Linked DNA regions of Arabidopsis thaliana. The protein of the gene in region 1 interacts with the protein of each later gene in a pairwise test. Each region holds a gene or a part of one and is shown on either strand. Other genes may lie near its edges.

Region 1 (6,327 bases):
ATCGGCATCGAATGAGCTTTAATCATCCTAACACACTTCCCAGTCTTAACCTCCCAAATACGAATCGTCTCATCGAACGATCCAGACACAATCAAATTCGAAGGAGGATTGAAATTAACACAGAAGACGAAATTCGTATGACCTCTAAGAACCTTAAGACATTCATAAGGAGATCTAGCGTCCCAGATTCGAAGCGTACAATCATCAGAAGCAGAGCAAGTGTAATGCGAATCAGAAGACCAAGCTAGATCGGAGATACCACTAGAGTGACCTTCGTAACGATGAATGAGAGAGTAGTTTGTTGCTGACCAGAGGATCATGGTTTTGTCTACGGAAGCGGAAGCGAGAAGATTGCCGTCGTTGGAGAATTTGACGCAAGAGATCGCCGCCGTGTGACCTTCTAGGGTTTTCAGGTGACGGTATGGCTTATATATCGGAACGTTTCCGCTTGTTCCTGCGTTACCGGTGGAATTCGCGTTAGCGACTCCGTTACTTGTTCCGTTACCACCGCTTGGCATCGTCGTCTCTCGTCGGATTTAGCAGAGTGGAGATGATCTCAATGAATCTCTCACCGTTACATATATATACATTCCGTTGACCATGACCTCTTGGGAATTACATTTTTACCCTTCATTCCTCATTTCTCGTATTGGTGGTTCTTCGGCTCGGTTCGGTTCGATTTGAATTTGTCGATTTTGTTGAACTAAAATTGGTCCGGTTCGTTTGGTTTATTTAGTTCGAAGGCACTTTATTCGGTTGGTTTCAGTAATGAGGTTTCGGTATATTTGGGTTAATTTCGGTTTGTATAATCGGTTCAATTCGATTTTAATGCCCACTACATTAGAGGACTCTGAAATCAAGATTTATGTATCCAAACATCTGTGAATGAAATTGAGATAAATCCATAGATGATGGTTATATTATACACACAACAGAAGGGAAGATTTATGCAAGAAACGAATGTAATTTTGAACATTGAGAAGATCCTATGAAGGCTTGTTTTTGCCGTAAATATCTTCAAAACCATCAGCTACTCGTTTCCTTCTTTCAGCAATCATTTCTGAATACGACTGAACCAAAGTACACGAAAAAACCACCAGAATCTCAAAGACAAGACCAAAGTAAAGTCTTGTTCACTAAGATTATAGAAACTAGCATTGTCTGAAGATGTTTAAACAGGATTTTTACTTTAACTTAGACTTAGTAAATTAGAGCTACGAACATTTCTTTAGTAAGGGAATGAAAAGGAGAGGTTGTTAGATGATGGAAGGGAAAATCATACCTTTGGGTAGCTATAAAGGAATATGTACCACCAAGCACCAATTACACCAACCGCAAGCGATGAAACTATGACCGAGTGTAGTATTACCCAGCTACATGCCACTATTGATAGACCCGTTAACATTATCGTCCATGGCTGACACCTGAGAAACATAGCCAGTTGCTTATTCAAAACCATACGGAAGAACACTAGGCCCTGAAAACGTCTAAGAAGAACCGTAAAGTTCTTGATTGCAAATACACACCAGATCAATAGATATTCAAAGCTGTAGATGCTGAGGTCGAAATGTTAAACCCTTCTTAACCCAATTACCATTACATAATCTGTATTTTGGTTCTTCACTATCTTCCTAACCAAAAGATTCAAACTTTTTCTTTCTATCTTCTAAACCACAACACACAATCATGAAACTGTAATGGGGTAAGTCTTGTTTTAAGTAGCATCAATAAATATATAGCTTCATATATGATTCAAAAAAGTTCTTGGGCAGGCATAAATCACTGAAAATGCTAATAAAGATTAAGGATTGGTCCACTTAAAAGTGAACTTAAGACTCTATCTAAGCTATAATCCCATATTCACAACCAACAAATACGATTCCTCATAAGTCTTAGGACCAAATCCAAACTACTTGAAATAAAATTGTTGGGAACTTAAATGAGATTTACCAAGAGGGTTTAGTGTCCCAAACAGAGTCGTATTCGAGAGAGAGATTGTCTAAGAAACCTTCCATGTCATCAACTACGCCTTTTTCATCGACAAATCTTGAATCCTTCGGCTCTCTCCGATTCCCACCAAAACTTCTAACTTTCGTACTAATCCTTATTGGTTTGAGATTGAACGAGTGTAAGTTCGTTCGGAAACTGAGTTTTGAAAGAAGATTCTCTGTTTGAGGCCGAAACGGCGACAGAGACACGGCGGACATGGAGAGACTTGCCATCTGAAGACGACGATAAGGATAGAGGACTCGATTGACTCTAATTAAAATGTGGGGTGCTTTGTGTAAAATCAAAACATGATTTTCAGTGGTGAATAATGATAAATATTGGGCCTATTCGTTAAGGGCCCAATAAGTAAAAAGGCGCAGATACTGTATATGAATCAAAGCCCTAATTTATCAGACAGCTGCTTAGATTTTGTTTTCTTCATTGTCGTCGTCGGAGTGAATTAGGGATTCGAGAATGACGATGAACTCGCTTCCGAGGAGATTTGGGAAGAATCATGGCTATTTGGATCGAGATTATCGAAACGGAAGACGATCTGGTTCAGATTCCGATGAAGAATTGAAGGGATTGAGTCACGAAGAGTATAGGAGGCAGAAACGGCTTAAGATGAGGAAATCAGCCAAGTTCTGCTTTTGGGAGAACACACCGAGTCCACCTAGAGATCAGAACGAGGATTCCGATGAGAACGCCGACGAGATTCAGGACAAGAACGGCGGCGAAAGAGATGATAATTCGAAAGGGAAAGAAAGGAAAGGTAAATCTGACTCGGAATCTGAATCTGATGGTTTGAGATCTAGGAAGAGGAAGAGTAAGAGCTCGAGGTCTAAGCGCAGGAGAAAGAGATCTTATGACAGCGATAGTGAATCCGAAGGGAGTGAGAGTGATTCGGAAGAGGAAGATAGGAGACGAAGGAGGAAGAGTTCTTCTAAGAGGAAGAAGAGTAGAAGCAGCCGTAGTTTTAGGAAAAAGCGAAGTCATAGGAGAAAGACGAAATACAGTGACTCTGATGAGAGCAGCGATGAAGATAGTAAAGCTGAGATTAGTGCTTCTTCGTCTGGGGAGGAAGAAGATACCAAGTCAAAGAGCAAGAGGCGGAAGAAATCTTCGGATTCTAGTTCAAAACGAAGCAAGGGAGAGAAGACGAAGTCAGGGAGTGACAGCGATGGTACTGAGGAAGATTCGAAGATGCAAGTAGACGAAACGGTGAAGAACACTGAGCTAGAACTTGATGAAGAAGAGTTGAAGAAGTTCAAAGAGATGATTGAATTAAAGAAGAAATCTTCAGCTGTTGATGAAGAGGAAGAAGAAGGTGATGTTGGTCCAATGCCATTACCTAAAGCTGAAGGTCACATCAGTTATGGTGGTGCTTTAAGACCCGGTGAAGGAGACGCCATTGCACAGTATGTTCAGCAAGGTAAACGTATCCCACGTAGAGGAGAAGTGGGTCTTAACGCTGAAGAGATTCAGAAGTTTGAGGATCTTGGTTATGTGATGAGTGGAAGTAGGCATCAAAGGATGAATGCTATTCGTATTAGAAAAGAAAACCAGGTTTACAGTGCTGAAGACAAACGGGCATTGGCCATGTTTAACTACGAGGAGAAGGCGAAGCGCGAGGCTAAGGTTATGTCTGATCTGCAGCGGCTTGTGCAGCGCCATATGGGAGAAGAGGTGGGGCCAAATCATGACCCTTTCGGTGCTGGAAAGACTGAAGAAGATGATGATTGATTTTGCTTGGCTTCCTGCTTCTGTTATGTGGGTACTCATCTTATGCTTTATCTTGTTGAATGTTCCTTATTTGCATCATAGATACTGCTGTTTGCTACTTGCCCGTTAATGAGCTTCGTAGTTTATGCTTTAATCTGCTATGTATCCGTTAATGAGCTTCATAGTTTATGCGTTAATCTGCTATGTATCACATGATTGTGTTTGTGTGTCAAAGATAATAGATTCTGACACTGAGGATCTGCAACCGTTCTTGTGCATTTACCTTAGGTCATGTTCGATGATTGAATTTTGCAGGGCATTCACTTAGTTCTGAGATTGTAGAACAATCAATTATTTAGGATATCCGCTTTGAGCCCACCACTGTATTTTCGAATAATGTCCTTTAATGAGCTTCACAGATTATGCATTCCTCCCTCTGTATTCATATCATTGCGTTTGTCTGTTAAGAATCCAGTCATATCATCATCAATGTTATCATTGTCACCATTATTATCATCATTCTATTTTTAGAACTGTGAAACAAAACAAGTACTTATATATATTATTGGGGATCTCTATAATTGTGAAGTGCAATAATTTCGGAATTTGGAGGCAGATAAAATTTGCAATAATATCCGAATTTGCAGGCAGATCATATTATTGGTAAATTACCTGCAAGGGTTCCAATTATAGTTTATGATTCCACTTTTGTGGAACTATACAATGTCTGAATCTGTTCTCAATAAATGCACTATCTCAATAGAAGACCCTACCAAGTACCTAGTCCATAATCTATTATTCGTTTCATAAATAATAACATATAAATCATTCAAAGAAGCAAAATGATTTTGGTTAAGAATTGAATGACAAAGAAAACGACATCTGTTCAATTTAGAGGAGATTAGCATTTTCGTATTACTATTCAAAGCTTAAAAATAGTATTTAAAAACAAAAAAATTATCAAAGAAATGTCATGTAAAGGTCCTCTTCTCATGCACGAAACGAATGATAATTAAATTAATTTATGAGCAAGACGCTTAAGTGATCCTTAATTGCTTTGTTTATAAAATAGTTTAATTATTATTACTCTGCTCAAGTAAAGAACGTGAAGGACAAAATGGTAACTGAATATAGTAAAGGGTATTAATGTAATTTCAATTCAGCAGACTCATGAAGTAACTGTGCCTACTTAAAGACAACTGCTCTGTTCTCTCTCTCTCCTTCGTCTCTATCAAGCTCATTTCTCAGATCCGTAGGATCTTCATTTCCATGGAGGCTTAAAAACCCTAGAAGATATTCTTTTACACATCACTCATCCGCTAGTGAAGATAAAAATCATTTCTAGAGCTTCCTCTTTCTCTCTCTGTATGATCTGAAGCGAATCGTCTTTAGATTCTTCACCAATCACTATCAAAAGGACCTCTTTTTAAAGGTGAATTTCTCTATGGAAGCTGTCTTATATGTTCCTTTTTTCAGGATCTGATCTTTTCATTTCGCTTTGTTTCTTTGTATGTGATGATTTACTTGGTTTTCCCCCATTTCTCTGGCTTGCAATTGTTTGTTTCAGCTTTTCGAGACGAGCTGGGTTTCGGATCCTGTGAGCTTCAGAGACGCTTACTGGTTTATCAACAAGGCTTTCCCTTTGAATCAAGCTTTGATTGAGAAAGGAGTGAAAAGATTTTGATTTTGATCAGATACACAAAGTGTTCTTGCGTTAGTTAAGCGACTAGGTGTGTGTTGTTGTAGTGAAAGCTTCTTACTGTTGACAGTATCTCGAAATGGAAACGCTTATTGTAGCTGTGGAACATAGGGATCAATATTATGGGAAGAAATCTCTTGGACATGATCGTTTTAGATCAGCTCCTTCCAAAACTTTTAGGCAGATCAATTGCAGAACTTTTCAATCTGGTGTGGGTTTGCTTCCAAGACCTAAGAGAACTTCTTCAACACCTTTAACCAAAGGAGCTCTTTCTCAAGTTCAGTCTCCTCGTTCTCCTAAGTCCGTTTTACCGGTTTTTCATCATCCATCTGTTGACAGTGGTAGAACCAGTCCCATTCCAATTGCTAATTGCAGAGGTTCTCAGATCCGTAGGTGTTCTAGTGAGTTTGTTGACAAAAGGAGAAGCCTTTCTTATTCTGAGCTATGGGCAGGACCTACTTACTCTAACTCACCTCCACCTGCTTCTGTGCCGATTCCTAAGTTTTCTCTCCAGCAAAAGAGGACGGTATCTTTGACCTTTCCTGCTCCTGACTCTGCTGTTGATATTCGTGAAGTTGCTAAGTCTGCACCAGTTTCTCCAACCTCATCTGGTGACAATCCTTTTCGTAGTACTGTCTCTGCCACTATGACACTGCGTCGCATGCTCAATCTTGAGCTTGAGACTGCAGATGAATGAAGATCAGGAGCCTTTAGGGGGAACGGGGTTAGTTTTAGTTTTATGCACATAGAAATAAGGTGTTAGTCACCAAGCTGGTTTGAGTTTGTTTCTTAGCTTTTAATGGTGATGGTAAAGGAATACGTAAGCAGTCTTGACTCGGAGTTTGTCAGCAGTTACTGGATCTCCTGGTGCAGATTGGGGTGTTATTAGTGGTGGAACAGCTGGTTATAGCGAGTAG
Region 2 (5,218 bases), on another chromosome or scaffold:
AAAGTGACAATAATAGGGTTTAAGCAAAAATGCAATTTTCCTGAAAATTTAGGGGTTTAACTCCTGAAACGCTGCGTTTTAATGCTGTGATATGATATTTTCAAGTTGGTTTATTCTGGCTTGGGCTTTTAAGCCCATTTATGCCAGATATTTGGGTCCAGTCCCGGAATCGCTTACCAACAAGAACAATTTAACTTAAATTACTTTTCGATTTTAGTTCTTATGAAAATTGAGGGCTTTTCTCGGTGCCCTAGAATTGATCGGAAAAATGTTTTCTTCATGGCAGAGCAAGGGAGTGCATGCTTCGACGGATCAGAAACCAATTCCTGAACAAGTATGAGAATTTAGTTTATTTCAGTTTTTGTTTTGATTATTTATTTGCTCTTTGTAGTTTTGATTGGATCCCTTGAGTCCTTGACGCTGCCATATGCTTATATTTGCTTACTCCCTGAAACGCTTTCTTTCCTATAAAGATGTTTTAAGGTAGTTTTATGAAATTTTGGGCTTTTAGCCCATTTATGCCAAATGTTTTGGTGATTAGGTTTATTATCTATGAAACCCTAATATATTATCTTGAGGCATACGCTATTTAAGAAACACCAGTACCCATTAAACCTAATAGGCGAGAGAGAACAAAATATGAACCGCTCTATATCTTCTTCTAAGATTATGAGAGGCGAGCATAGATCATAAGACAACCTTATTAGAGTCTCTGCAAGTGAGTCCAGTGAAGACGAGTAAGGTTCATAAGAGTTGGGTGAAGAGGACGAGGCTAGCTCAGAAGAATCAAGTGAATAAGAACACAGTGATGTGACCTATCATCACCGCGTTCTTTTCTTCTCCCAGACTCTTCTGAGCTAGTTACGTCTTCACCTAACTAATTCAAGAAATATTATTTGACAAATAGTTTTCCTTCAATCATAACTGTCACAATTTTGTTACACATTTACTTACCTTTAGTACAACATAATATTGCAAACCAAATTAATCTTGACGAGAGTGTGTAATGTAAAAAACGTACTAACACAATAAGTTATCAGAATCTTTAACTTGCAATCTCACCAAAGCCTCTTCACAAATCTCAGGAGGAAACTCTTTTAAGAACTCAGTAACAATACGTTCTTGATCTCTCTGCATCTCTTCAATCTCCTCTCTCTGTTTCCTCAACAAAGACTCAAGTTTCTCTACTATAACCCCAACTTCTTGATTGATCGGTCCTTGTGCTGACGACAACTTAGAATTAGACCGTGGCGCAAACGGTGAACGTGAGTCTCCAGCTCCAGCTTTAGGAGAGGACCAGAATTTTCTCCCTGAAGGAAATCTATCTAAATGGAGCGTCTCTGGAGAAGACAAACATTTTTGTACCGCTGAATCATCACCGATAAGTCGAGAAGGGGTCCAATCGGGGATGTGTGAATGTATCTCTGTGTCGATCATTTTAGCTATCGTTGAGATGTCTTGATCATCGGTTAAGTCTAGTTCTTCGACCATTTCGATGGCGACTGAGAAAGATGTGTCTGTCTCTATGTTAAATGGGAAGTGGATATTGCGGATTTGACCTGTATAAAAAATGTTATTATTGTGTCAAAAGAAGATTTAGTAATGATCTGAAGATTTGTAATAAAAAAAGCAAAAAAGATTTTGAACCTTTGGAATCGGTGATACGTAGTTTTAGGAAGATTGTGTTGAGGTCTTTACGTTGGCCTTCTACGGTTAATAAGCCTACCTCAGAATCCGAGAGTTTATCCACGATTCCGTTTCCGTTGTAACCATTTTCTGTGACAATGTTATTGAACTTGGTGTTAGAAAATTTCACATAGAAAAAATATAGAAACTATCTTATGTTACTATTATTGATTTTAACTTTTAAGAAAGGAGTCCATGACACTTCATATTGAGATGAAATGAAATACCATAATCTGATATTACCTTTGTGAGAGCTGACGTTTTCGGTATTTTCCTTGTAGCATTTCAGAAAAGGATCATCAAGTAGTTCCTTGGCTGACAAGCGTTGCGAGACCTTTGCGATACACTTCTCTATGAATGCTCTCACTTGCGGATCAGTCACATTTAAAAGAGCGGCTGGTTTGATTCCCTAAGAAGCATTGAGAAAAATGGATCGACAATATGGAAAAAGTCATTCTTGATTGGATATGAGATGGGAATATGATCACTTACCGATGTAACTTTCCTATAAATCTGAGCAGCATTTGTGCATTCGGAATACGGGTATTCAAAAGTTACCAGCTCAAGCAAACACATTCCAAACGCGTAGATATCGACAAGTACATTATAGTCCTCTTCATAGAGTTCCGGCGCCATAAATTCAGGAGTTCCTTAAACAATTTCAAACACAAAATTATAGTTTCACAATGGAGAAACTTTTTCGTTTGAGAACAAGATTAAAGATCTCACCGATGACGCTATGAGCAGAGCGAGCGCGGTGCAGAATCGCGGCTAGCCCTAGATCTCCAATTTTGACCTCACCTTGGTTCCCATTAATGAAAATGTTATCACATTTAAGATCTCTATGGATCACAGGAGGATCATGGCTATGTAGATAAACAAGCCCTTCTAAGATCTGCCTTGACCATTTCTTCAATGCTCTTAGATCAACACACTTATGTTTCTTCCGGTACCTATAAGGGTTTGTCAAACATGAATAATATTGATCAAATAAAAAAGATTTGATTTGACTTCTGAGAGAGGAATCTGACTGTCTAAGATTTCCGGAAGTGAAGACTTCGGTGATGAGATTGATAGTCATGTGTTGGTGATCGATCCAAGAAGTGTAGAATTTGATGATGCTTTTGTGTTTAAGGGTTTTGAGTAAGTGAACTTCAGAGTAAAGACGATCTAAATCCTCTGAGCTACAGAATTTATCATCTAACTTAACTTGGTTCCAAGCCACTTCGATTCCTTCAAGTTGGTCAAATGCTCTGTATCTGAAGAACTCTCTGATCAAAGAAACCCTTTAGTGACTGTGTCTTGTCCGAATCTAATCTGATTTGTCTCTGTAGTAATAACAGAGATCTAAGAAAAAGGATACACTTCTTTGAAAGCTCCTTTGCCTAGAACTTCTTTATACTGAAAACATGAGAAACAAAAACATTAGAATTGAGAAAAAGGTAACACTAAAATCAAGTAAAGAAGAACAGACCCGGCCATAGCGACCAGTGGGATCAATCTCAACGAATTCTTCCTCGGAGTTATTCTCGTCTTGTCGCATTCTTGGTTACTTGCAATTCAAAACAGATGATAGGAGTTCTTGAGAGAAGAGAGAAATTTAGTCAAGGAAGAACAAGTTTTGAAGCAGTTTCTGATAATAATAATAATCATTACTTAGCTGTCTTTTTGTGTATAAATCGATTATTTAGATTTTGTGCCATTAAAACCAAGCTTAAGCTTTTCCAGCTGCTGATCATAATGGTGTCGACTGTAGAATGTTGTACACTCTCTCTCTTTCTCATCTTCGAATTTAGGACACTCAGATCCACTGGACAAGACCACGTGGCAAAGGTGTGGGTCGTTGCTTTTTTCGCGCCATGGATCTGGTTTTTTATTTGATTTTCTTCTCATTTATTGTCATGTTACTCTAATCAATTATTTTGCTTATTCAGTCAACTTCATGGTGTTGTGAATATAAAATATTCGGACTTTTTTTTTCCCCTTCTTAACTCTTAAGTCACTGTTTTAGCTGACTAAGAACCCTATAATTGACTATCCTACAAATCGAATAATGGGTTTGGTAAATTACAAAATGTTTAGCCATTGAACCCGCTTGTCATGGTAACGAATTCGATTTTACTGTGTGTAAACAACAATTTGGACTTCAGCTTCAGTTCTTTTAAACTTAAGGAAACTTTTCACTAAAGGGTTTTGCTCTCTCTCTCAGGATTAATAGAATAATAGTCATAGTTTTTGGTGAAACATAAATATTCAATGTTGTTACACTTTAAATAGAAACTTGTACTGACACAAATCACTACACTAATGTTATGATCATTTGTTATAATCTATTACTTCTACTTATATCTCAAAATATAAATGTTTTACATATTGGAGACAGAATGTTTGAGACGAATTAGGACATTTAAATTTTCATGGAGAATTGTTTGTTGAACAATGTTGTCGTTGTATTTTTGATGAGTATGAATTGGCGGTTCAGCCGTTTAAAAACCGATTATATACAATGATCATCAAATTTTTGTAAGGCCCATTGGGCCCAGAGTATATAAATCCTTAGAGCTGACGGCAGCCTGAGACCATTATCCTAGGCACTTGTATTGTATGGTGGTAAGACACATCGTGGAAGCACCGAAAGACTAGAACGGTGACACGACCAAAATAAGACATAAATCGTAAACGCACCAAATGACTTTCACAAGGAAAAATCTCGAAGAACTAAACATTAAAAGACTGGTGCATGCATAAATACATAAGTCCAAAAGATTGAGTGGACAGTAATTACGTACTAGTACTACCGTGAAGAAACTTGGCTTGTATATGTAAGTCCAAAAAAACCACAAATAAAAACTCTTCACAAGAACACGTTTTGATGTACTTGAAGAATCCAGACATGATGATCATGTTCTTTCTGTTATGCTCAATAATCTTTGTAGTTACCATCATAATTTTCAGAAAACAGAAGAGAGGGAAGAAAAGAAACACACTTCCGTCACCACCGGGACTACCGTTGATCGGAAACCTTCATCAACTCGGCCGCCACCCTCACCGATCACTATGCTCTCTCAGCCACCGGTACGGTCCTCTTATGCTTCTTCACTTTGGCCGTGTCCCCGTTCTTGTAGTATCTTCAGCTGAATTGGCTAGAGACGTTTTGAAGACGCATGACCGTGTTTTCGCAAGCCGGCCACGGTCAAAAATCTTCGAGAAACTTCTTTACGATAAGCATGATGTGGCCTCAGCTCCTTATGGAGAGTACTGGAGGCAAATGAAAAGTGTGTGCGTCCTCCATCTATTCAGCAACAAAATGGTACGATCCTTTCGAGAAGTGAGAGAAGAAGAGATCAGTCTGATGATGGAAAAGATCAGGAAATCGATTTCTTTGCCGGTAAATCTAAGCAAGATCTTGGTGAGTTTAACTAACGATGTGATATGTAAAGTTGCTTTGGGACGGAAATACGGTGGTGAAACGGATTTTAAGGAGTTAATGGAGAGACTAAATAAACTATTGGGGACGTTTAGTGTGGGGAGT

Evidence for each region. The genes of interacting proteins can lie anywhere in the genome.
Region 2: the proteins of AT4G02725 (region 1) and WNK3 interact in a protein complementation assay, tested with the Arabidopsis thaliana proteins (one large-scale study listed by BioGRID).

Annotation. Positions count from the first base shown.
Region 1 is NC_003075.7:1,201,950-1,208,276, reverse strand, and holds AT4G02725 (spindle pole body-associated protein), read right to left. Parts: upstream 4,265-6,327; 5' UTR 3,733-4,264; coding exon of another isoform or gene 2,464-3,732; 5' UTR 2,223-2,463; coding exon 1,951-2,222; intron 1,425-1,950; coding exon 1,283-1,424; coding exon of another isoform or gene 1,277-1,282; exon of another isoform or gene 1,071-1,276; coding exon 987-1,070; 3' UTR 841-986; downstream 1-840. Other genes in the region: WDR5b (Transducin/WD40 repeat-like superfamily protein), read right to left, coding at 1-518; AT4G02720 (Ras-induced vulval development antagonist protein), read left to right, coding at 2,464-3,732; AT4G02715 (flocculation FLO11-like protein), read left to right, coding at 5,490-6,107.
Region 2 is NC_003074.8:17,871,992-17,877,209, forward strand, and holds WNK3 (with no lysine (K) kinase 3), read right to left. Parts: upstream 3,540-5,218; 5' UTR 3,230-3,539; coding exon 3,161-3,229; intron 3,088-3,160; coding exon 3,050-3,087; exon of another isoform or gene 2,946-3,049; coding exon 2,718-2,945; intron 2,640-2,717; coding exon 2,416-2,639; intron 2,337-2,415; coding exon 2,179-2,336; intron 2,096-2,178; coding exon 1,930-2,095; intron 1,777-1,929; coding exon 1,648-1,776; intron 1,560-1,647; coding exon 1,021-1,559; 3' UTR 829-1,020; downstream 1-828. Other genes in the region: CYP71A26 (cytochrome P450, family 71, subfamily A, polypeptide 26), read left to right, coding at 4,580-5,218. UniProt on the Arabidopsis thaliana protein: May regulate flowering time by modulating the photoperiod pathway.